Mus musculus: one gene and its partner. The protein of the gene in region 1 interacts with the protein of each later gene in a pairwise test. Links are inferred from orthologs where the notes say so. Each region holds a gene or a part of one and is shown in the gene's direction. Other genes may lie near its edges. The genes, in order: Cyth4 and Fos.

Region 1 (11,979 bases):
ATGCCTTCCTTTTCAGAGGTGAATAATATTCCACGGTATATTCCATGGTATGTGCATGCCATATGCCACAGTCCATACATGTATTCATTCATCCGTGGACACCTGACTCCACCCTCTGGCTTCCGTGAGCATCTATGGCTAAATAGCCATCGGAGGTCCACTCTCAATCCTGTAGGAGGGTTTAAAGTCTAATTAGACTTGAGTTTTAGACAACCACTTCAGATACTGTTAAGTGGGGACACAGGATGGGATGGGGAACCAAAGGGCTGCTGGGGCTGTCATCGTTGGGAAGGTGGCAGTGAGCCTCAGGGTTACGGTGTCTGTCATGCCGATCAAATCATGTCTCAGCAACTTCATTTTCATTTAAGGTTTACCTTTATGTGTGTTTGTATGAACAGGGAAGTATGGATGCAGTACCTGAAGAGGCCAGAAGGAGGCGTTATATTCCCCCAAAGCTGGAGTTTCAGAAGGTCAATTATCTGGGAACCAAACTCAGGTCCTCTGCGAGAGCAGCAACAGCTCTGAACCACTAAGCCACTGCCCCTGCTGCATGGCCACCCTCCTGCCTGAGTTCTGTGCACACGGCCCTTGCCTGATTTTATTATTTTCTCTCTTCCCCATGTCATAAATTCTAAGGTGAAATATCTGAGCAACGGAAATGCTAAATGCTGGAACTGATCGTCACAGGATAAATAACCAGCTGACCTCTACCCCGAGCCCCTCCGTAATCTTCCCTCTCCGTCGCTTCTCTGCAGCCCAGTTCATCCGATGGTCTCCAAATGACATTGAAGTGTGGCCCAAGGGCTCCCTAATCTTGTTCTTTAATTAAGAATCAGATGATGTTCATTGCAGGGACACGCTGTGTGGGTCTGAAGAGTTTTAGGGGACTGACTCAGGAGATGAGAGTCGATTGCATCTCAAGGACACTCCAGCTTAAGAACAAGGAAGATACGGGCCCTGAATAACAACGACCCTCCGAGTCCCTGGCACCCCCATTCTTCCCCGCGAGAACCTTCTGCAGATCTGAGCCCTCTTAGATGATCTTGGGGGAGGGGAGCAGCCTCTCTCTCTTTCCCATCTTTCCCTTGAGGAAACTGGATACCCACCCCACCCCTACCCAACTCCAATTTCACAGATACGTGTTGTTCGAGCAGAGGGCCTGGGGAAAGGGAGAGAAACGCACAGCATGTTGATGCCTCGAACTTCTGGTCTGGCCCCACTTAACTGCGGTCACCTTTCTACATCTAGCCTGTTTTTTCTCCTCTTTCCCTTCTTTGCATACTGAGACTCCGCCTCCCAATGACCACTCCCACCACATGCGCAGAAGCTAGCCACAGGAAAGGTGATGTGCCAAACTCTGGGGGTGCTGAGGCTGACCCAGATTTGCCTGAGCTTCCTGGCAGCTAAGGCAAAAAGGGAAACAGAGCAAGTGACTCAGTTCTCCACTCTGCAAAAGGAGAAGCCTGCTGGAGCCCTGGTGAGGCAGATTTTCCTGACAGCATGCTAGAGAAAAGTTCTGGGGTGGGAGGCTCCCGGTGATGTCAGACCCATTCATTGCTGAAGGCTACAGCCCACAGGATATGCTGACATCACCACAGAAACAGGAGGGAGCTTGGGTTCCATCCACCCGAGCACAGGTGTGAAAGGGCTCCAGATCACTCATGGGGGAGAAACATACCTTCATGAGAGCCTCATGGGATATGGCTGCAGCTTCGGGGAGTCATCTGCCCTGAGCATCTTTCCTAAATCTCAACAAAAGCAAGCAAGACCCTACCTGTGCCCAGGGATTAAGTGCCCGGGAGCCAAGGAAGGCACAGTAGTGACCAGCGTCATGTTATTGCCGCCATTGCCCCACCCCCACCCCGGAGCTTCGATGAGACACTGCTGTGCCTCATTTTAGAGAGAAGGATGCTGGGCCTGGAGGGTCACAAAGGCTCAGAGCAGGGACACCGAGGGTGGAGACTGGAAGGTTCTCAGCATTTCATGAGCTGCGGCTGACACTGTAGCTCACAGCCGCCACGTGCCTGCCGCCTCCACATACAGCTGTACCAAGCGGTACAGCCGCCCTCCTTTTCCCATCAGCCATATCTGCTAACAACAGACCACCGCGCAGAACTGGTTAACAGGCATTTCTTCAGAGGAGTGGGGATGGACAACCTCCTCTCGCCTGAGGCTCCTGCCCCTCTTCCCAACCACTTGTGGATAATCGTGGCCTGATCACACATGGCCCCTGGGGGGCTGGGGAGGTGCTAGAAGAGTATAGAATGAGGAGGTAGAGGGGATTCCAGCTACGAGGCCGCCATTATCCACGCTGGATGAAGACTTTCAATGCAGTTGCTTTGGGTCACCCCTGTTCCTGCAGACAGCCCCACACCCTGGCTCTCTAAGTTCACCCAAGAAACTCACTAGTTCTCCAGGGTGAACTTCAGGGGGACCCTACTTTGGGCTACCTGTGGGTCTATAGGAGAAGGGGGTGGACGTTTCTATCTCCCTAGAAGGAGCTCTGGCATCAATTCCCACGTGCAGTGGGACCCCGGGGCCCCGCTCAAGCCTGCCATTCTTCTGCTCTGACAGCCTAGGCCTGAGCCAGACACAGTGACCCCTCTCCCCATAGCCCAGGCCCAGTGACATCTCCCTACTTGAGCCCTCTGTCCCAAGGCCTTCCCTTGCATGGTTCTGGCGGTCCTCCTCTAGGGAACTATGTGACACTTCATCTTTCTTTTTTCTTATGTTTAGTATTGCTTGTGGTGGGGAGGGAGGAATGGGCCCTCACCCATGCCAAGGTCGGAGGATGACACTGTGACTTCTGTTCGCTCTCTCTCCACCTTGTGGGTTCCTAGGACTGAGTCCAGGTCATCGGGCTTGCACTGAGCCATTTTGTGAGCCCCTATTTAGTGTGTGTGTGTGTGATATTGCACACTGGATCTGTGGGCTCTGAGGACAGCACACACACACACAAGTGAAGGCCAGGGTATTTTCCTCAATCTCTCTCCACTTCTCTCTCTCTCTCTCTCTCTCTCTCTCTCTCTCTCTCTCTCTCTCTCTCTCTCTGTTGCTCTCTCTCTGTCGCTCTCTCTCTGTCTCTCTCTCTCCTCTCTCCCTCCCTCCCTCTCTCTCTCCCCCCCCCCCCCCCCCCGCCTTGCTACTTGTGGATCAAGATGTGAGCTCAGCTGCTCCAGAGCCATGCCTACCTCCCTGCTGCTGTGTTCCCCACTACAGTGGTGATGGACTGGTACTGTGAGCCCAGTTAGATACTTTCTTCATTAAGTTGCCCTGGTCATGGAATTTTGTAACAGCAACAGAAAAGTAACAAAACCCATGAGGCTGAATGTGGGTCCTCCTGCTCTTATAAAAAGTACTTCACTAACTGAGATGTCTCCCCAGTCCTCATATTTAAGTCTTTCAAAGGCAAAGGTCCCTTCATCTCTGAGCCTGACACACCTGAAGGGAAGAAAAGTCTTGAGCACGCTCTAACCCCATACTGTCCTCGGACCCCACAGATCCGGTGTGTGCAGCCTCTGCAGACCCAGATTTTGAAGCCCAGGTCCTAGAGACCCAGCACTGCCCTGAGACAGGGTGGTGGCCTGAACCCAGGCCCTGAGTCTAGGATAGGCAGCTAGGCAGCCCTTGCTTCTCCAGGGCTCTTGGGTGCAACAGACACCGAAGGCATGAACCCACAAACGCCACAAGAGCAGCAGGGGTGGGTGCACGTGTGAGGAGCACGATTTCTGAAGGCTCTACCATCTGGTTTTCCATGGCAGCCTGCCACCCCAGCTGACAAGTGTCACTTAGAAGACCCCATGTCCAGACAGGTGTCTCCACAGAGAACAACAGTTGGAGGTTGGATCTCAGCAGGAAGGTCTGTAAACCTCACTCTCTGGGTCTGTAAAATGGGACCAGAGAAGACTTCCAGACAGGACCTCAGTTTCCAGCATTGTGATCCCACGGTGGTTCTCTGCCTGCCCATGAAAGCTAGCCCTCCTCCCCAGATCCTCCTTGGTGACACAGTAGCAATGAGATGCCTGTGGCTTCTTCATGGCCACTCTCCTTGCTCTCCTCCCCTTGTCTTTTCAGTTTTTGAGATAGGGTGTCATGTAGCCCAGGCTGGCCTCTAACTCACCAATATAGCCAAGAATGACTTTGAACTCCTAATTCCTCTTGCTTCCACCTCCCAAATGCTAGCACTACAGGTGTAGGCGCGATGCTCAGGTCTTCTTTCTGGCATCTATAGCCCCAGTCCAAACCCAGTCCTGACGCTCTAGGACTGAGCCAATCAGTCCCTCCTTCAGGAGGAGTTACATATTTACTATCAGGGCAGGGAAGCCATCTGAACTGTGGTTTGCCATCATTGTCCTAGTTGCTGTCTTAGTGTTTGTTTGTTTTCCCTGTTGCTATGACATTATATTCTGACAAAAGCAACTTAGTTTCTATTCTTCTCAGAGCTCAAAGGTACAGTCCGCCATGACAGAAGAGGCAAGGCAGCAGATTGAAGCAGCCAGTGAAATTCCACCCACAGTCAGGAAGCTGAGGAAGATAGATGAGCACACTGCTGCTGCTCAGCTTCCTGTCTCTGTTTATGCAGTCCAGGAAGCCAGCCAGGGAATGGCGCCACCCACAGTGGGCAGGTCTCCCCTTCCTGATTAACAAAAACTAAGATGACCCCCACAGACATGTCCAGAGGCCTGTCTCCCAGGGGGCTCTAGACTCTGTCAAGTTGACAATTTACACTAACCACCCTGATGATCACCCAAGTCATGGTCCCTTTAATGACAGGCACTGGCTCCTCCTACATAATGTAAACTGATCGCCATTGCGGTCAGATGCTGCCCACATTAGCTAATGACCAGTAATCCTGGGAGGGGTCTCAGGGGCGGGAGAAATTCCTAAGGGTGAATTTCGATGTGGCAATGGGGACCTTTTCCCCCAGTTCTCTGTCCCTGCTGTAGCCCACCCCACCCGCAAGCACTAGCTCCCACCTTCCTGCTGCCTGTGGAGGATCCTGTTTCTTAGCAAGTCCTGTGGCCAAACTTGGATGAGAAAGGACAGAAGTGGGAGACACAGGGCATCTGGAAAGCCAGAATGCTGCAGAGGCCAGCCTGCTCCATTCCGTAAACCAGATTAATCCAGGCCTCCAGGGCGCCCCCTGTTGTTGATACATAAAACTGCACCACTCTCTCAGCTAGACTTTGGGTCAAAGACACAGGGTTGAGCTCAGACTCCAGGCGGTGGGGGGGGGGGCACACCCCACTTCTGTGTGTGCGTGTGCATGTGCAGGGCCTTGGCTATGCTAGACAAGCTCTCTACCCATGAGCTATGTCCCCAACCCTCTTCTTGTTTCTTATTTTAAGACAGGTTTTCACTGGATCAGGCTTGAATTTTTAATCCTCCTGCCTCAGTCTCCCAAGAAGCCAGGATGACAGGCCTATACCTCCAGGCCGGAAATGTCTGCATCACTCAAGGAAGGAACTACATGCCTATCTTCCCTGGGTGTATTCATTCATTCACTCATTCATTAGTTCATCCTCACTTGAACACTCCTTTCTCCTCACATTTTACGAGAGACTAGGACACAAATGTGACCTTGCCCTCACTGGACTTCTAAATAGATTGGAAACAGATCAGTGAGCCAGGATGTGCCCTGAATTCCAAAGAGTAAGCGCTCCTCTGACTGAAGTTTCTGTCAGCCATCCCTTTTTCTCTGCAGGATCTGAACCAACTCACCAGAAAAGGCCTGAGAAACAAAGCAGTCAACAATGGGGCAGCTGGGGGGGGGGCAGTTAAAGCCTAAAGGAAAATCATTTTTTGAACACCTACTACATTCCAAGAATCTTACACTGCTCTTTCTACATTCCCAAGGTTGAGTGTGCATACTCTCTTCGGACGCAAGCCAAATGAGACTCGGTGTAATAGGTTGACTAGCCCGAAGTCACATGCACCCTGTTGGTGGTGACACCTGCCTGAGTGGAGATGCTGAGGGTCAAACAACTGGATCTGGCCACAAAGTCACATGGAAGGATTGTACAGATTTGATGGTGAGTTTCCTAGCGGCCCGGGGAGAGAGGGAAATTAGACACTTTGTGAGACGTGGGGGGGGGGGGGGGCATTTCTTTAAAAAAAAAAAAAAAAGCAAAGCCCCTCCCCCATCCCTGAATGACTTGTCTTTTCTCCAATGAGATTTGATTCAGGGGAGTTCAGAGAGGACCCTAGAAGCTGGGAAATCTTTTGGCTTATATTTAAAGAGGTTGCTGGGTAAAGACCCGCGCCCCCCAGAGAAGGTCCATCGTTAGGACCTTCTTCCCCTGTGACTGAGCTTGTGGGGGCCCATAATCCACCTGTCTGTCTGTCTGTCTGTTTGTCTTTATCCACCCACCCCCACTCCCCTGCCCTAGCTCTGTCTTCCTTCTGCTTCCCCACTTTCCAAGTACTCAGATGCCAGGGTCTGAGCTAACTGGTGAAACTCAACTGCCTTTAGGAAGTGCGCTCTGTGTCAGGAGCCTGCGCACAGACCCCTGTGGCCAGGGCTGACTTCCTCCCACAGGGTCTGGGCGGGGCAGGCAGGAAGGGGCCATGACTGGTCCTCTTGGCTACCCACCAGAGCAGCAGCTGAGCTGGCAAGGCAAGCAGCTGGGCCACCTTTCCCCTGGGCTTCAGAATGGATGTGTGTCACACAGGTAAGCGATAGGTCCCAGCCACGGGCCTCAGTCCTTTCCTCCGGCAGAACAGGGAATCAAGGGCAGCCGTGCCCAGAAGGCCAGGAAAGAAAACCTCAAACTCCATGTGCAGAGGTAGGCACCGGGCTAGACTCCAGGCCTCGGGGTCCCACAGGCATCTGAGTGGTTGCTTACCTCCTGGGCTCTGCACTATGAGGTGGATGATGACAAACGAGATAAAAGATAGATAAAACAGGAGATCAAGGACGAGGGAAGAAGGAATTGGGAGTGCTCAGGCCGACGCGGCTCAGCAGAGTTCTTGGGAGTTCCAAGGAAGAGTTTTCAGGAGGGAAGGCCCCCCATAAGGGACCTGGGAAGAATGACTTCTGATGAAGGTGGATATTGTTGGTGGTGACACCTGCCTAGACCCTGTGAGGGCCCTACAGAGTCTTCTTAGCTCCTGGGGTCTGGTGACGTTTGATGGAGGCTGGGGACACTGCCTGAAGGAGTAACATTCATTCAATGAGGCCCTGGCACAGTAGGCCCTGTTCACTCAGTAACCAGGGCGGTGGGTCTGAGGGACAGAGAAAAAGGAAATGGGAGGGACAGGCTGGTGTGGTTCTCAGGGAGCAGAGAGCAGGGCTGTGGGTGGAGCCATGTCCCTGTACCCTCAGAGAGTTCTCTTGGAGTTCTGGGCTCTGAGGGACTGCAGCTGCTGGCTGTCTGGATCCCCAGGTCTATATGACTGGTTCAGAGTGACAGATTCTCCAAATGATACCTAACCCTTAACAGCCAGGCCCCACCCACCAGCACTGGGCCCCGCCCACTGGTGCTGAGCCCCGCCCACTGGTGCTGAGCCCCGCCCACTGGTGCTGAGCCCTGCTCACTGGTGCTGGGTATTCTCCAGATGCTATGCCTTGTTCTGTATTCCAGAAACCGATCAGGTTCTTCCTTCCTTCCTTTCTTTTGTTTGTTCTCTCTCTCTCTCTCTCTCTCTCTCTCTCTCTCTCTCTCTCTCTCTCTCTCTTTCTTATCCCCACCCCCTTTATTTTTAGATTTTTGGAGACAGTGTTTCTCCATGTAGCCTTGACTGTCCTGGAACTAGCTCTGTAGACCAGGTTGGCCTCAAACTCACAGAGACCTGCCTGCCTCTGCCTCCCAAGTGCTGGGATTAAAGGTGTGCACCACCACTGCACCTGGCTCCCTCAGACTCTTTCAACAGCCATTTATTTATGGTCGGGATACAGGGGGCTTTGACAGGACATAATATAAGAAGAGGCTGTGGCTCTGGCCACCAAAGATCTCCTTAATATAACCTCTCCCTTGTCTCTTTGGGTGTTGTGTGTGTGGGGGGGGGGGGGGGCGGTTGAGTTAAGTTCCACAAAGACACAGGGACTAGGCTGAGGTTCAAGGCCAACAAGAAGGCAAAGGGAGACCAGGCAAAGGGTCTCCACGGACTGCTCCATCATTCTGTTTGTTCATTATTTATTCATCCATTTTACAAACGGCCCCGTGGCATGCTTCAAAATGGCCAAAGGGGAGCTGGTTGACATTCCAGGGTGCTGAGTGGAGGGACAGAGGACTCTGATCCCCGCCTGGCCATACCCACAAATGAGAAGAATGAGAAAGGGGACTGGGGACTTCCTGGGGGAGGCATCAGGGAAGGGGGAATCTTTCTGTTACCCAGGTCCCACAGAAGCCCATGGAGGCCGGGGCTCTCCTCAGATTCATTGTCTGTGAACGGCTGGTCCTTTGTCTTCCTGGCCTGCCTCTGAGAATGTGGGCATCTGCCCTGCAGGTGCCAGGGCTGGGTCTCTTCTGCAGGAGGCACGGGCTCCTTTGTGATGTTTATGGAAGGGGATGGTGGCAAAGGCTCTCCCAAGCTGCTTCTGGCTCCGCCATGAACCTGCATTACAGGGAAGCAGGTTAAGACCCTTCCTTCCCCCAGGGCCTGCAACAAGGTGAGCCCTGCCTGGTGAAGGCATGAGGGCAGACAGGCTAACACTAGAGCGCACTGGCAGGGAGAGGAAGCTCCCTCCCCTTCTACCTAACCACCCCTCAGGAGCCCCGTCCCTGTACGCCCACTGGTACCCCCTTCACCAGGAAAGGGGAACTGGGGCCAGCTGGCCTGGAAGCCAAGCTGCAGGCACCAAAAATAAGATGGGAAAGAGGAAGGGTGAGAGGGAAGTGGTGAGGAGCTGAGGTGGCAGCTGCCGGGCAGTGGGCACTGGGCACTCACTGGCCTGAGACTGGGACACAGAGGGCAGACTAGGTAGGGGTGAAGGTGACCGCTTTCACACCGTTGTGGTTGGCATAGGGTCAGATTGCCCAGGCGTGTGGATTTCACAAGGCTCTAGGAGGGTTGTAGGCTCTGGCCCCAGGTAGGTAGAGCGCTACCCCAGCTCCACCGCAACCAGCTATGTTGGCTGAGAGAGGCCATTTAACCTCTCTGAACCCCAAGAGTATCACCTATAGCAGGGAGTTAGAAATCCCCTCTTCAGAGTATGGGGGATTGAGAGACGGGAGGAGCAGTGCACACAGTGGGTCCTCAGTCAAGAGGGAGGGGCACTGAGAGCACTCAGGGCCAGCACACAGAGGGAGGCGGAGTGGCATTGGGAAACCCAGCTTCCACCTCCCTCAAGGTGGTCGGATGTCAGTGGGGAGCGTGGACACGGAAGGAAAAGTGACAAGACCTGGCGATGGCGGTGCCCAGAGGCTAGAGGGAGGTGCTGTCAGGTGCCTGGGATTGGGGTGCATTCCTAGAGCTCAGAAGAGGCTGGGTAGAGGGGAATTCCCAGAGATGACTGAGGTCCAGGTGCAGCTTGGTAGCCAGTCAGTCTAGGTTTCACGAGAGATGCTGTCAGTGACAGTGCATGCCTTTAGTTCCGGCACTCAGGAGGCAGAGGCAGGTAGGGTTTGAGGCCAGCCTGGTCTACAGACTGAGTTCCAGGACAGCCAGGGATAAAACCTGTCTCAAAGAGAAGAAGACACGTGGTGTCAGCCTCTGACCTCTACAGGGGTGGACATACATGCTCATTCACTCTCCAAACACAGATACATGCATGCACACACATGTACACACACACACAAGCATGCGTACACACATGCATGCATGTATGCGCACATACATACTCACACCTGGCTTGCCTGGGCAAAGCCTGTATCAGTAACCATACTGAAATCCCATACTGTTCCTTTCCAGTTGTGTGACCTGGGATATGTCACCTCACCCCCTGAGTCCCCGAGTCTTAAACTGAGAACTACCCCTGTAAAGAATCATGGAGACTAAATGACCGGGGTCCCTTGGGTATCCAAGAGTTTGGACTTCCATGAGACCTGCATCACACTCCTCTCTGCCCCCTTGGAAGAGGATCTCTACCCCTGCAGGGACAAAAAGAAAATCCCACTGAGGTGACAGGCCTGCACTTCCACTTAAGGAGCCCCGCACCCAGCTGCATGTGCAATGGGAAGGGGCATGGTGCATCCTGGAGGGGTGATCCAAGCAGGGAACCTTCTCTGCATCCACACAAGGCTGCTCCATTCTCTAGCAGGCCTTGATGATGACAAAGGGTGGGGACATTCAGGTCCCATTGCACACAACCTTTGCTAAGAAGGGGATCTGGGCTTCCTATGGTCCCATGGCATTGAAAGCCCTTGAGTAGAGGAGCGGTATCTATCTGAACCTGTGCGGACTCCAGCCAACATGAATAGCTGGGACAGGATGGGGCGCAGTGGTCGGGAATCTGTCAGGCCTGTTCAAAGCCTCTGGTTCTATCCTTAGCAACACAAAAATAAAAGTAAAGAACTGGCCGGTCTTTTTGAGAGCAAAGGTTCCAGTCCAAGGGAAACAGTGGCCCAGTGCCTGTATCTGCATCCGGCTGGTTGGACATTGATGGGTGGTCGTCAGGGGACCTAGGAAGGACTCCAGCTTCTTCTCATGCCATATGGCTACTTCCTTTGCTGTTCCAGGGCCAAGATGGCCCCGTAGGAGGCTGGTGAGTCAGCTGAGCTGGTCACTGGTCGTGTCTTCATGCCCCTCCTGGGTGCCTGCCTGCTGATAACCCCTGCAAATCTCTGCTTGCCATCCTCCATAGAACCACCCATGTCTCCTCGCAACCTGCGTTCCCTGCTCCCCAACCTTTCCACTGTCCTTTCATTTGGCCTTTGTCTCAGTTAGTCACTGCTAGCAGGAACTCAAGGACACCCTCTCTTCCTGAACCACAGGAAGTGGTGAATCAAGTGCCCTGACCAAGGTCTCCACCGTGGTCTTTCTGGGATGGCTTGGAGATCCTTAGCTGCCCACGTTGTTGGCTGTAGTTTGCTTTTGATTGTTTGGCTTTTGGTTGTTGTTGATGAGACTGCATCTCACCCTATAGCCTAGGCTGGCATCAAACTTGTAATCCTCCTGCCTCAACCTCCCAAATGTTAGGATTACAAGTATGATGAGCTGCTGTGCCTGGCTCCGTGGAGGTCCTGACTGGAGTATGGTAGGTGGGACGAGTGTGCAGTGTCCTGGTGTGGCTCCAGCATTGTGGGTCTCTCTTTGTTTTGGAGGATAATGGGACAGCATGGGATTGGGAGCCAGTCCAATCCAAGGTCCCAGTTTACTTCTCACATCTGAGTTATAGTGTCTTAGAGCATAGACTGATGTTGTGCCAACCCTGCCCCCAAATTCTGTTTTCTCTTCTTTCTTTTTTTGTTGGCAGTTCTGCCACTGTATTTGACATTCAGCAGGTTTAGTGTTCTCATCTACATTGGTGGTCTATAGATTTTTTAATGTAGTTACAGGCGTGTAAGTTACCAATGCGTAGAGCTTGTTTGGTGAATCCTCATTCTCATTACGTTTTCTGGACAAACGTACTCAGATATGATATGAAACATTCCTTATTCCTTTGGCCCAGACAGCATTATCAAGCCTGATCAATGCACACATCTGGACTCCCCATCTCCCTTACGGCAAATTTCCAGATTTCCTCGAGTGCCCTAGGGACACACTTCTTGAAGCCCACTCCATGGATGCGTTTGTGAATGTATATTCTCAAGTCCCCACCTCACTGATGACAGAGTGGCCCTTCTTCTTCTTGCCACCCTTCTTTGTGGGAGCCATTCTGCCAGGCCCAAGTTGGAAAGGCTCTGTTTTCCCTTCTTACAACATAGGGATCACCCTAGTGAAGCTCATTTGCCAGCTTCCCTTGCAGCTAGGTATGGCCAGGTGACCCCACAATGGCCACAGGAAATCTCTCTCCAGGGAGTAAAAGGAATTATGATGAAGAAGTGGGGCCACTCTAGAGAGGGACGTCCAAGGATGCCTCTCAGCGGTGGTGGCATC
Region 2 (11,925 bases), on another chromosome or scaffold:
TTTACAATCCTTCACTTGCTGCTTCCAACCTCAGTCCTAAAGTTTCTCCAGGCAAGGAGCTGGAGAGAGGGGCTGAGAAGCTGACCCCCCCTTTTTCTTCTCTGCACTGATTTGGGATGGGGGGCTGATGTGGGCAAGCTTTCCTTTAGGAACAGAGGCTTCGAGCCTTTAAGGCTGCGTACTTGCTTCTCCTAATACCAGAGACTCAAAAAAAAAAAAAAAGTTCCAGATTGCTGGACAATGACCCGGGTCTCATCCCTTGACCCTGGGAACCGGGTCCACATTGAATCAGGTGCGAATGTTCGCTCGCCTTCTCTGCCTTTCCCGCCTCCCCTCCCCCGGCCGCGGCCCCGGTTCCCCCCCTGCGCTGCACCCTCAGAGTTGGCTGCAGCCGGCGAGCTGTTCCCGTCAATCCCTCCCTCCTTTACACAGGATGTCCATATTAGGACATCTGCGTCAGCAGGTTTCCACGGCCGGTCCCTGTTGTTCTGGGGGGGGGACCATCTCCGAAATCCTACACGCGGAAGGTCTAGGAGACCCCCTAAGATCCCAAATGTGAACACTCATAGGTGAAAGATGTATGCCAAGACGGGGGTTGAAAGCCTGGGGCGTAGAGTTGACGACAGAGCGCCCGCAGAGGGCCTTGGGGCGCGCTTCCCCCCCCTTCCAGTTCCGCCCAGTGACGTAGGAAGTCCATCCATTCACAGCGCTTCTATAAAGGCGCCAGCTGAGGCGCCTACTACTCCAACCGCGACTGCAGCGAGCAACTGAGAAGACTGGATAGAGCCGGCGGTTCCGCGAACGAGCAGTGACCGCGCTCCCACCCAGCTCTGCTCTGCAGCTCCCACCAGTGTCTACCCCTGGACCCCTTGCCGGGCTTTCCCCAAACTTCGACCATGATGTTCTCGGGTTTCAACGCCGACTACGAGGCGTCATCCTCCCGCTGCAGTAGCGCCTCCCCGGCCGGGGACAGCCTTTCCTACTACCATTCCCCAGCCGACTCCTTCTCCAGCATGGGCTCTCCTGTCAACACACAGGTGAGTTTGGCTTTGTGTAGCCGCCAGGTCCGCGCTGAGGGTCGCCGTGGAGGAGACACTGGGGTGTGACTCGCAGGGGCGGGGGGGTCTTCCTTTTTCGCTCTGGAGGGAGACTGGCGCGGTCAGAGCAGCCTTAGCCTGGGAACCCAGGACTTGTCTGAGCGCGTGCACACTTGTCATAGTAAGACTTAGTGACCCCTTCCCGCGCGGCAGGTTTATTCTGAGTGGCCTGCCTGCATTCTTCTCTCGGCCGACTTGTTTCTGAGATCAGCCGGGGCCAACAAGTCTCGAGCAAAGAGTCGCTAACTAGAGTTTGGGAGGCGGCAAACCGCGGCAATCCCCCCTCCCGGGGCAGCCTGGAGCAGGGAGGAGGGAGGAGGGAGGAGGGTGCTGCGGGCGGGTGTGTAAGGCAGTTTCATTGATAAAAAGCGAGTTCATTCTGGAGACTCCGGAGCAGCGCCTGCGTCAGCGCAGACGTCAGGGATATTTATAACAAACCCCCTTTCGAGCGAGTGATGCCGAAGGGATAACGGGAACGCAGCAGTAGGATGGAGGAGAAAGGCTGCGCTGCGGAATTCAAGGGAGGATATTGGGAGAGCTTTTATCTCCGATGAGGTGCATACAGGAAGACATAAGCAGTCTCTGACCGGAATGCTTCTCTCTCCCTGCTTCATGCGACACTAGGGCCACTTGCTCCACCTGTGTCTGGAACCTCCTCGCTCACCTCCGCTTTCCTCTTTTTGTTTTGTTTCAGGACTTTTGCGCAGATCTGTCCGTCTCTAGTGCCAACTTTATCCCCACGGTGACAGCCATCTCCACCAGCCCAGACCTGCAGTGGCTGGTGCAGCCCACTCTGGTCTCCTCCGTGGCCCCATCGCAGACCAGAGCGCCCCATCCTTACGGACTCCCCACCCAGTCTGCTGGGGCTTACGCCAGAGCGGGAATGGTGAAGACCGTGTCAGGAGGCAGAGCGCAGAGCATCGGCAGAAGGGGCAAAGTAGAGCAGGTGAGCAGCGATTCTGGACCTTTGTGGGCTGGGGGGGGGGGGGGGGGCGGAGACTGACGCACAGACCACACAACAGAGAAGGGACGCTACTGACTGCACTTCCTGACCAGGAGCTGTGGCTGCTAGCCCTTTCCCTCCCTTGTCAGATTTTGACAGTTGGACCCAAGACAAACTCTAGACAGTTTCCCTGACAGCTTCCTACTTCATTCTCTAGCCGGGGAGCTTCTTTGTTCCCCTGCTAAAGATCTCACTTTAAATGCAAATCACACTCTGCCTGCCAACTGCAGGTTAGAAAAACTGCTTCACCGAGAGGTGCGGGTGCTGTAGGAGCCAGTTTCACTGGGGTGACTGAATGGAGGTGACACTAGACAACCTTAACTGAATGTTGGTCCTTTTCTTCTATAGCTATCTCCTGAAGAGGAAGAGAAACGGAGAATCCGAAGGGAACGGAATAAGATGGCTGCAGCCAAGTGCCGGAATCGGAGGAGGGAGCTGACAGATACACTCCAAGCGGTAGGTTGAACCAGCTGCTGCTCCTGAAACTTTATTAAAGTTGGAGCTTGGGACTATGGGCGCAGGGTCCTTGAGCATGCCCGTGTCTTATGCTTTCTTATATCTCTCCCTATGCAGGAGACAGATCAACTTGAAGATGAGAAGTCTGCGTTGCAGACTGAGATTGCCAATCTGCTGAAAGAGAAGGAAAAACTGGAGTTTATTTTGGCAGCCCACCGACCTGCCTGCAAGATCCCCGATGACCTTGGCTTCCCAGAGGAGATGTCTGTGGCCTCCCTGGATTTGACTGGAGGTCTGCCTGAGGCTTCCACCCCAGAGTCTGAGGAGGCCTTCACCCTGCCCCTTCTCAACGACCCTGAGCCCAAGCCATCCTTGGAGCCAGTCAAGAGCATCAGCAACGTGGAGCTGAAGGCAGAACCCTTTGATGACTTCTTGTTTCCGGCATCATCTAGGCCCAGTGGCTCAGAGACCTCCCGCTCTGTGCCAGATGTGGACCTGTCCGGTTCCTTCTATGCAGCAGACTGGGAGCCTCTGCACAGCAATTCCTTGGGGATGGGGCCCATGGTCACAGAGCTGGAGCCCCTGTGTACTCCCGTGGTCACCTGTACTCCGGGCTGCACTACTTACACGTCTTCCTTTGTCTTCACCTACCCTGAAGCTGACTCCTTCCCAAGCTGTGCCGCTGCCCACCGAAAGGGCAGCAGCAGCAACGAGCCCTCCTCCGACTCCCTGAGCTCACCCACGCTGCTGGCCCTGTGAGCAGTCAGAGAAGGCAAGGCAGCCGGCATCCAGACGTGCCACTGCCCGAGCTGGTGCATTACAGAGAGGAGAAACACGTCTTCCCTCGAAGGTTCCCGTCGACCTAGGGAGGACCTTACCTGTTCGTGAAACACACCAGGCTGTGGGCCTCAAGGACTTGCAAGCATCCACATCTGGCCTCCAGTCCTCACCTCTTCCAGAGATGTAGCAAAAACAAAACAAAACAAAACAAAAAACCGCATGGAGTGTGTTGTTCCTAGTGACACCTGAGAGCTGGTAGTTAGTAGAGCATGTGAGTCAAGGCCTGGTCTGTGTCTCTTTTCTCTTTCTCCTTAGTTTTCTCATAGCACTAACTAATCTGTTGGGTTCATTATTGGAATTAACCTGGTGCTGGATTGTATCTAGTGCAGCTGATTTTAACAATACCTACTGTGTTCCTGGCAATAGCGTGTTCCAATTAGAAACGACCAATATTAAACTAAGAAAAGATAGGACTTTATTTTCCAGTAGATAGAAATCAATAGCTATATCCATGTACTGTAGTCCTTCAGCGTCAATGTTCATTGTCATGTTACTGATCATGCATTGTCGAGGTGGTCTGAATGTTCTGACATTAACAGTTTTCCATGAAAACGTTTTTATTGTGTTTTCAATTTATTTATTAAGATGGATTCTCAGATATTTATATTTTTATTTTATTTTTTTCTACCCTGAGGTCTTTCGACATGTGGAAAGTGAATTTGAATGAAAAATTTTAAGCATTGTTTGCTTATTGTTCCAAGACATTGTCAATAAAAGCATTTAAGTTGAATGCGACCACCTTCTTGCTCTCTTTATTCTCAGTTTTGTATGGTTTCAGGAAGGCCTCTGAGGAGACCAGTTTGTCAAGATGGGTGGGTCCTGGAGGGGAACACGCCCTCTGTCCCCTTATCACTCAGAGGACACGCTAGTTCAGGGTATTTTACAGAGATGTGTGTTCATATTGCATTGCCTGCCTTGGGGCTGAAGGCTGCCTGTAACAGCTTGTGCAAGGATGTGCTTTTCTGCATGCTTATCTTCGCCTTAGTGATTTTCATGGGAAAGGAATCCTTTGAACAGAGCCTAGCTCTACACAAACTTTTTTGTTGTTGTTGTTTTGTGAACTGAAGAAGAGTTGAAATAAGCGACCTTCCACACTGCAAACCAGATCGCCACTTCCCCCTCCTGTCCATTATTAGGCTGAACTGCCTCTTTAAAAAAAAAGTATATATATATATATATATATATATATATACACACACATATATATATATAACTAAAATATGTATTTATTTATGTGGGGAGGGCATTCATGTACTTGAGGTCATGCACTTGAGGTCATGGGACAACTTCCAGACTTTTTCTCAAGAACACGACCTTTGGGAATTGAACTCAGGTTAGCAGGCACCTAGACCCACCAAGCAGCCAATCTTGCCAGTCCCCCTCCCCCTTTAAAGATGTATTTATTTCTATTTTCTGTGTAAGGGTGTTTCGCTGGCATGTGTGTCTATGCACCAGGTGCATATGCAGTGTCCATAGAGGCCAGAAGAGGGCAAGGGATCCTGTGGGACTGGAGTTCTGAGACAATGGCAGCTACCCAAGCAAGCACCAGGAATCTAAATCTGGGCTCTCTGCAAGTCTAACAACTGCTTTTAACTGCTCATCCGTCTTCCTAGCCCTCCTGAACTACCTTCCACACCTTAGCCTTAAAAGGTTTCCCTTGGTTAAAACACACACACACACACACACACACACACACACACACACACACGAGTGCGCGCACATGCACGCAAACAAATTTTCAATTGTTTGTTTACTTTTAAGATGGGTCTAACTTAGCCTAGTCTGACCTCAAACTTGCTATGTAGCTGAGGCTGGCCCTGTATTCCTGATCTTTCTGTTTATATCTCCCAAGTGCTGGCTTTACAGGTATGCACCGTCATTCGGTTCCTTACTCAAACATATGTTCATTTAGTCAACCCTTTTTATTCTCCAAAGAGAGCAGGCTATCTATTATCCTGTGCCACCATGAAAAACAAATCCCAACTTCCGAAGCTACTTTAACACTTGGGTGTAATTCACAGTACAGTAGGGGAAAAGGAATGGACATTTAAATTATCTTGAGCAGCATAAATAATGGCTGATCAACCAGTCTGTAAATAAGAAGTTACATAATAGCTCAGTAGGGAAGGGTCAGAAGACTTCGGGTGAGCTTAGCTTAGAAAGTTTATCATCTCAAAGAAGAACATGACCTTTGCCTGGGACACCTCAGGTAATGACTGCTGCTCTCTCTCTTGCTTACATGCAAACCAAAAGGAAAGAAAAATGAGCCACTCCCTACCCTTGCTCTCTGGTACCTAAAAACCATAGACTGTTTCCACGCATGCTGGGTGGAAGGGGAGCCTTCAGGTCATTAGTGGTAATGACAATCACGCTGTGGTCACAGTGGGCCTCGTACTCTGTCGAGCTGTGTTTCAATTTCAAACGACAGTTCCATTACACGTGAGCTGTTAACCTATGATCTACCTGCTCCTACCACAGTGATTGACACTTCCAAGCAATTTACCCAAGTCTCTCTAGAACGTTCTTTACAGCACATTCCACTTGCACACACTGCTTTGGCCAGTCCTGAGTTATGGAGAGGCCTTGTTGGTACACCAATAATCCCAGAGCTGAGGAGAGAGGCTTGAGTTCTGGGCTACACTGTGAGATCCTATATAAATTAAATGAAATGTAAAAAAAAAACAAAAAAAAACCAAAACCCAAAAACCTTTAGAATTAATGTAACATTTACAAGGACTCGGTGAGCTCTTTTAAATGTGTGGTGGTAATGAGCTGAGAGGAATGTTCCAGATTGGAAAGAACAGCAAGGAAAGCAGCTTGCCCCTCCCCCCACTCCCGGGGGCCTCCCTAATGGCCCTGGCAGTTGTAAACTAGCTGTGGAAGAAGAGCATCCCCTTTTCTTTGACAGGTCTGACACAAAGCCTTTCTCCAGGTCACCACAGCCCAGGCCATGGTCCATCCACAGGCAAACACTGAAACTCTAGGAAGACAGAATCTCTGAAAGGTTTCTCCAAGTTCCTGGGATTCCCCCGAAGGACTAACACCTTCTGAGCTCCCTGCCAGCTACTTCCGTGGTCTAGAGTATCTTCCCTGTCTGGCCAAAGGACTCCTTCCAAATCCCCCCTTACCAGGGACTCTGGATTTAAAAATTCCTGAGGAAGACTGGCACTAGGAATGTCACCTTTCTTTTGGGGACACTTCCATCCCTTCTCAGAAGACAAAGCCTCAAACTAGTTTCAGGGGAACAATTACCTGCCTGGCTTCAGCGTCACTAACATTGATACAAGTCCTGACCATACAACAGAAAGGGCTAAAGACCAGGGACCATTTCCCTTAGGGACCATGTCAAGCCTGACCCGCCAATGGACTCTAAGACCCAGTTCAGAGCTATAGTACAGGATTAACAAACATTTTGCTCAGTGGGTGAATGAATAAGTTCCAAACTCTTTCTACGATCAGAAACTGGTCTGTGTATGTTCTGTAGTTTCTGTTCCAGTCCCCCTTTCCGATGTTAGGCAATAGGAATGTTACATCTTTTACCTCTGGCTGCAGACACACAGGCCACTTCTGTCCTTCATTCCTGGAATTCCTTCATTGCCTCCCCTGGGTTCCATCTGCCATTTCAGCAAAGCGAATGACTGACTGTGCAATGACTGAAATTAATTTCAGATACTAGAAGAAAAAATACTCATCTTTGCAGAACAGTGGATAACAGGCTCCCAACACCTTTGCATACCCCTAGAGCTCATGCGATTATCAAAACTAGAGAGGAGTACTTTGTGCTCTATTTAAACCAATCATGTTCTGTTTAATTAGTCTCAGGCACAGTAAAAACGCTAAGATGGTTACCTTAAGCAAATGATCCCAAGTTTCAATGTGTCTGAAGTAAAAGAAGAAACAAAAGCAAAAGCAACCTTTAAACTGTGCACACGTTTCCTCTGAAGCAGTCCCTCGGAGGGCAAGGGATAGAGTGGCATCTGGATAGAGTGGCATCTGGATAGAGTGGCATCTGGATAGAGTGGCATCTGGATAGAGTGGCATCTGGATAGAGTGACATCTGAATGCTGAACAGTGCTCATGCTTTAAATCGTGCTGGCTTTCTGTTAACATTAAGAAGTTGACCCTTGATTCTTCTGGTGCCCTCAAGTCCCCATAAACACACAGGGCATGGGACTCCCTTGCATTCTGCACACATCTAGTACTCATTCCTTGAAGAGGGTGTTTGTTTGTTTGTTTGTTTGTATTGTGCTGATAAGCCTCTACCTGGGCCTCTTTGCCCAAACTGGCAAAGACATCCAGGTCCCAGCTCAAAGCAAGTCTCCTTCTAGACACCTTCCCTGGCCACTCTATCTAGGGTGTCTTCTGGGCACACTCCCTGAATGACGTTTTCCTGATTGGATCTCATAGCATTCATTTCTCGCTAGCTGCGACATCCAATCTTGGTTTTCTTTCACTTAAAATAATAAATGTCTCGTCCCATGAGAACAATGATCTTTTGTATCTTGATCACAACCGTGTCTCTCAGGGTTGTTGACTGAGTGCAAATAGATGAATGAATGAACACAGATGACAATTATGAAAGTGTCGTAAGAGAGCCAGACCTTAGAAGGGAATATTAACCTCAAAGATGTCTCCAAGGGTAGAAGACCATGGCCCTTTATTAAATACAAACTCCAGGCTGGAGAGGTAGCTCAGCTGTTAGCACCTGCCATTCCTCCAGAGGACCCAAATTCAGTTCCTAGAATCCATGATGAGTGGCTTATAACTGCCTACCACTCCTGCTATGGGGGAGGGAGAGCCAACATCCCTGGCTTTGGTGGGCTCCATCACTCACTCATGCATACACATACATCTAAGTGAAAAGTAAAATAAATAAAATGTAAGCAACAACAAACGGCAAGCTCTCCAGACGTCTCAGTAGACGAGGGAGCCTGATGACCCGAGTCCATCCCTGGAGATCCTGTGAAGGTGGAAGGAAAGAATCGATGCCACAGAGTTGTCCTCTGACCCCTGACATTTGTGCACCCACACTCGTTTTAAAGAAATTCATGTTGCTCTAAGGATGGCTATTCACACCTACAGTTCCAACACTGGGGAGACTAAAGCAAGAACGTTGCCATGAATTTGAGGATAGCATAGTCTACAGAGTGAATTCTAAGCCAGCCTGGGCTACAGAGTAAGACCCTGTTTTGTTTGTTTTTGCTTTGTTTTTAAACAAGACAAACAAATAATCAAAATGTATTCACCTTGGTACAAAACACTCAGAGTCTAATACAAGTCTGTTTTGAGTTCATTCAGTGTGCAACCTTTAATTTAGTCTGCATTAGAATGGAAGGAAGAGTAAGGGTTACCTAGTTCCCATTATCCATATCACTATCGTTAGCCAAGAGAAGGTCCACACCTGCTGTAGATAAGATGTACTAGATGCTGGTGAATGACTTTGGTCTCTGGAAGGAGCCAGTTGGGTAGGTTTCCCTTGTCTTTGCAAGCAGGAAAAAGCAACAGAAATCTAAACCAGTTTAGTTGCAATACAATCCATTTCAATGGTTCCACAGACCCACTCATGGACTAAGCTGAAATGCATTTCCTTTGTCCAAAACACATTGTCCTGTTACTCAAGAGGACGAAAGTAGAAAGTGTTCTGGCTACTGTCCCAAGCAGGCTGCCTAGTCTGGTCATTAGCTTTCCCCCACAATCCCTAACTTTCAGCCCTGGTGTTTGGGTTTGGTTAAAGCAAATGATTAGAAGTCTGGGGACCCACAGGTGTCTAATTGTTGGTTATGTTAGAAACTCTTTGTTCTAGAACCAGGCCCAGAGGCTACAGGGATGTAGTGGTATTGGGCTTGCTAGCCTGTGTGAGGCCCTGGGTTGGCTCCATAACACTATGAAATGAACAAATATTAGCAGGAGGCCTGTGTGGAAAGGACCTAGTTTAAAAGGCCTGGGACAAAAAGCAACTTTATCCTGACTGTTAGTGGCCCAGGGTCTACTTGCCATGTTTATTTAGGGGAGAAATTAACTGGGTTAACCGATCATATGACAGGTAAATTTATCAAGACAATGTGATAACGTAGTCTGGATCCAATATTGCAAAGTGTTCCAGAATATAGACTTAGTTCTGAATCCTGGCTCCTCGACCTTAGGCAAATCAAGCAGTCTGTACTCAGCTTCCTCAGTGGTAAAATGGAGATGGTAATTGTGGGTGGCTATTGAGACTGCTATGGGCACTCAGAGAAGCAAATCAGTATTACAGCTCCTAAGTGTGAAAAATATGGTAGAATAGTTGGCTGTTATTATGCCTTTTGGGAGATGACGGTCAGTCAGAGAAGCACATAGGGATTGCATTATATAGGATAACCAGTTGGAGGTAAGCAGAGGGGAGGGTGGGGAATCTAACATTTACATCAATATCGAAGCATCAAAAGTGAAGGAAGTTAAAGGTAGGGCAAGAATAGATAACTGTGGCCAGATTGCTCCGAGCCTGGTATTTAATTTAGATCAGTCTGTTTGAAGACTTAGTTACAGCAGTGGTGGCAGGAATGGAGAGGAACAAGTGGTAATTAGGAGGAAGACGTCCCAGGCTTGGTGACAGGGTAGATGTGGGTTTTGATGGAGAGGGAGGAATCTATGCCCATTGCTAGGTTTACCGAGCTTGACACACAGTGAGGCTTATGGCTCCCCCAGGGACTTGGTGTCCATAGAAAGAAGCATGGGTTTCGGGGATGTGGATTAGCTTCGTGTGGAACATGTTAGCTTGCAATGCCTAGAGGATCCATCTAGGGGGAGATGGAGGTTAGTCCCAGTAACCTAGTAGAAAATGGAAAGAGTTGATGGGGTTTATTCAGAGCACAAGGTTGGCACAGAACCTGTGGCCCTGGGGTAAGGTTTCACATGAACCTGTTCGTGCCAGGATCTGCTCTATACTGTAGAGGAAGTTCAGGGTCAGGGATTGCTCTACTAATCAGTGTGCCTCTCACAACTGGCACTTGATAGGCACACAATCATTATCATGTTGTCAAATGGTTGCCTCATTTGGTCTTGTCAACACAACAGTTCAACGAGACAGCTGTTAGTGCCTTCATTTCATAGGAATGGAGCATGGCCCAGGAAACAGTAAGTGTCTTGGCCAAGGGCCCACAGCTGATAAGTAGCAGACCTGAGATTTGAATACACACTTTGTGAATCTAAAGAGCCCCAATTGCTTAACCACATTACCGGATCATTAGAATTTGACTCTAGGTATATGATCTGCTCCTCTGAGATGATCTTTATGCCCATCAGGGGTGGTGGGATTAAAGTATCTCTTAAGCCGGAGCTGGAGAGAGAGCACAGCAAGCAAAGTGCTGCTGCCAAACCTGACAACCTGAGATCCATCCCAAAGACCCACAGGATAGAGAGGAAAAAGTAACTGTACGGCTCGTCCTCTGACTGCTCCATACACACAATGTCAATAAACAAGCAGGCAAATACATGCATTCTTGTGGCTGAAACAGGCAGATCTCTGTATTTCCCATTTATTTATTTATTTATTTATCTATTTATTTATTTTTATTTTGTGTGTGTGTATGTGTGTGTGTGTGTGTGTGCGCACACACACTTGTGTCATGGTGATATGGAGGGCAACTTTTGGGAGTCAGTCTTCTTTTTCCATTTCTACATGGCTTCTAAGGGACCAAACTCAAGTCACCAGCATTGATCTACAAGAGCTTTACTGGCTGAGCAGTCATCATCCTAAAAAAAAATAAAGATGTATTATTTACGTATATAGGTACTTTGTCTGCATGTCCATCTGCCCAGCAGAAGGTGGCATCAGACAAGCCTGAGCTGTCATGTGGATGCTGGGACTTGAACTCAGGACCTTCAGAAGAGCAGTGTGTTCTTGACCATTGAGCCCCCAGCTGAACTATCTTGCTGGCCCCTTTAAACCAATTTTGTTTGTTTGTTGACAAAGGGTCTTATCATTTAATCTTGGCTGGTCTGGAAATTGGTAGCAGACCAGACTGGCCTTGAACTATAGAGATCCTACTGCCTCTACCTCCTGAGTGCTACCATGTGCCCTATCCCCCAAACAGATTTGACAGAAAGTATCTAGTTATGGTGTCCCATACCCGTAACCCCCAAATTGAGGAGTGGGTATAGGAAGGTCACCTCTGAAAGGTAGTTCAAGGCTACCTTTGGCTGTAGAGCTAGTTTGAGATCAGCATGAATGGTTCAAACCCTTTCTGGAAAAAAAAAAAAACAGGCAAAAGCCAACTGATATAACACAGTGACTGTGAAAGGCAAACTGAACTTGAGTCTCTTCAGTTAGCTCTGTCACTGTGTCTGAGCACCTGTGTGCTGGTGTGTGTTTACACATTCTTGTGAAGCGATGTAACATTTTGTCATGCTTCCTGGCAAATGCATTGTGGTGAACACGTTTAGTATTTTTATTATATGTTACCTTCCTAGTGTGTTCTTTAAAATGGGAGATTTCTCTAAAATTGTTTGCTTTGAAACTGAAGGACAATCAGGAAAACATGACACTGGATG

Evidence for each region.
Region 2: the proteins of Cyth4 (region 1) and Fos interact in a two-hybrid assay, tested with the Homo sapiens proteins (2 studies listed by BioGRID and IntAct). The two-hybrid records come from large-scale screens. The link is inferred for Mus musculus from reciprocal best matches to the Homo sapiens genes CYTH4 and FOS.

The regions. Positions count from the first base shown.
Region 1 is NC_000081.6:78,590,549-78,602,527, forward strand, and holds the start of Cyth4 (cytohesin-4), read left to right. Parts: upstream 1-6,498; 5' UTR 6,499-6,652; coding exon 6,653-6,671; exon of another isoform or gene 6,672-6,775; coding exon of another isoform or gene 6,776-6,785; intron 6,786-8,017; exon of another isoform or gene 8,018-8,556; intron 8,557-9,343; exon of another isoform or gene 9,344-11,979. UniProt on the Homo sapiens protein: Promotes guanine-nucleotide exchange on ARF1 and ARF5. Promotes the activation of ARF factors through replacement of GDP with GTP.
Region 2 is NC_000078.6:85,473,144-85,485,068, forward strand, and holds Fos (proto-oncogene c-Fos), read left to right. Parts: upstream 1-746; 5' UTR 747-896; coding exon 897-1,037; intron 1,038-1,791; coding exon 1,792-2,043; intron 2,044-2,448; coding exon 2,449-2,556; intron 2,557-2,673; coding exon 2,674-3,315; 3' UTR 3,316-4,131; downstream 4,132-11,925. UniProt on the Homo sapiens protein: Nuclear phosphoprotein which forms a tight but non-covalently linked complex with the JUN/AP-1 transcription factor. In the heterodimer, FOS and JUN/AP-1 basic regions each seems to interact with symmetrical DNA half sites.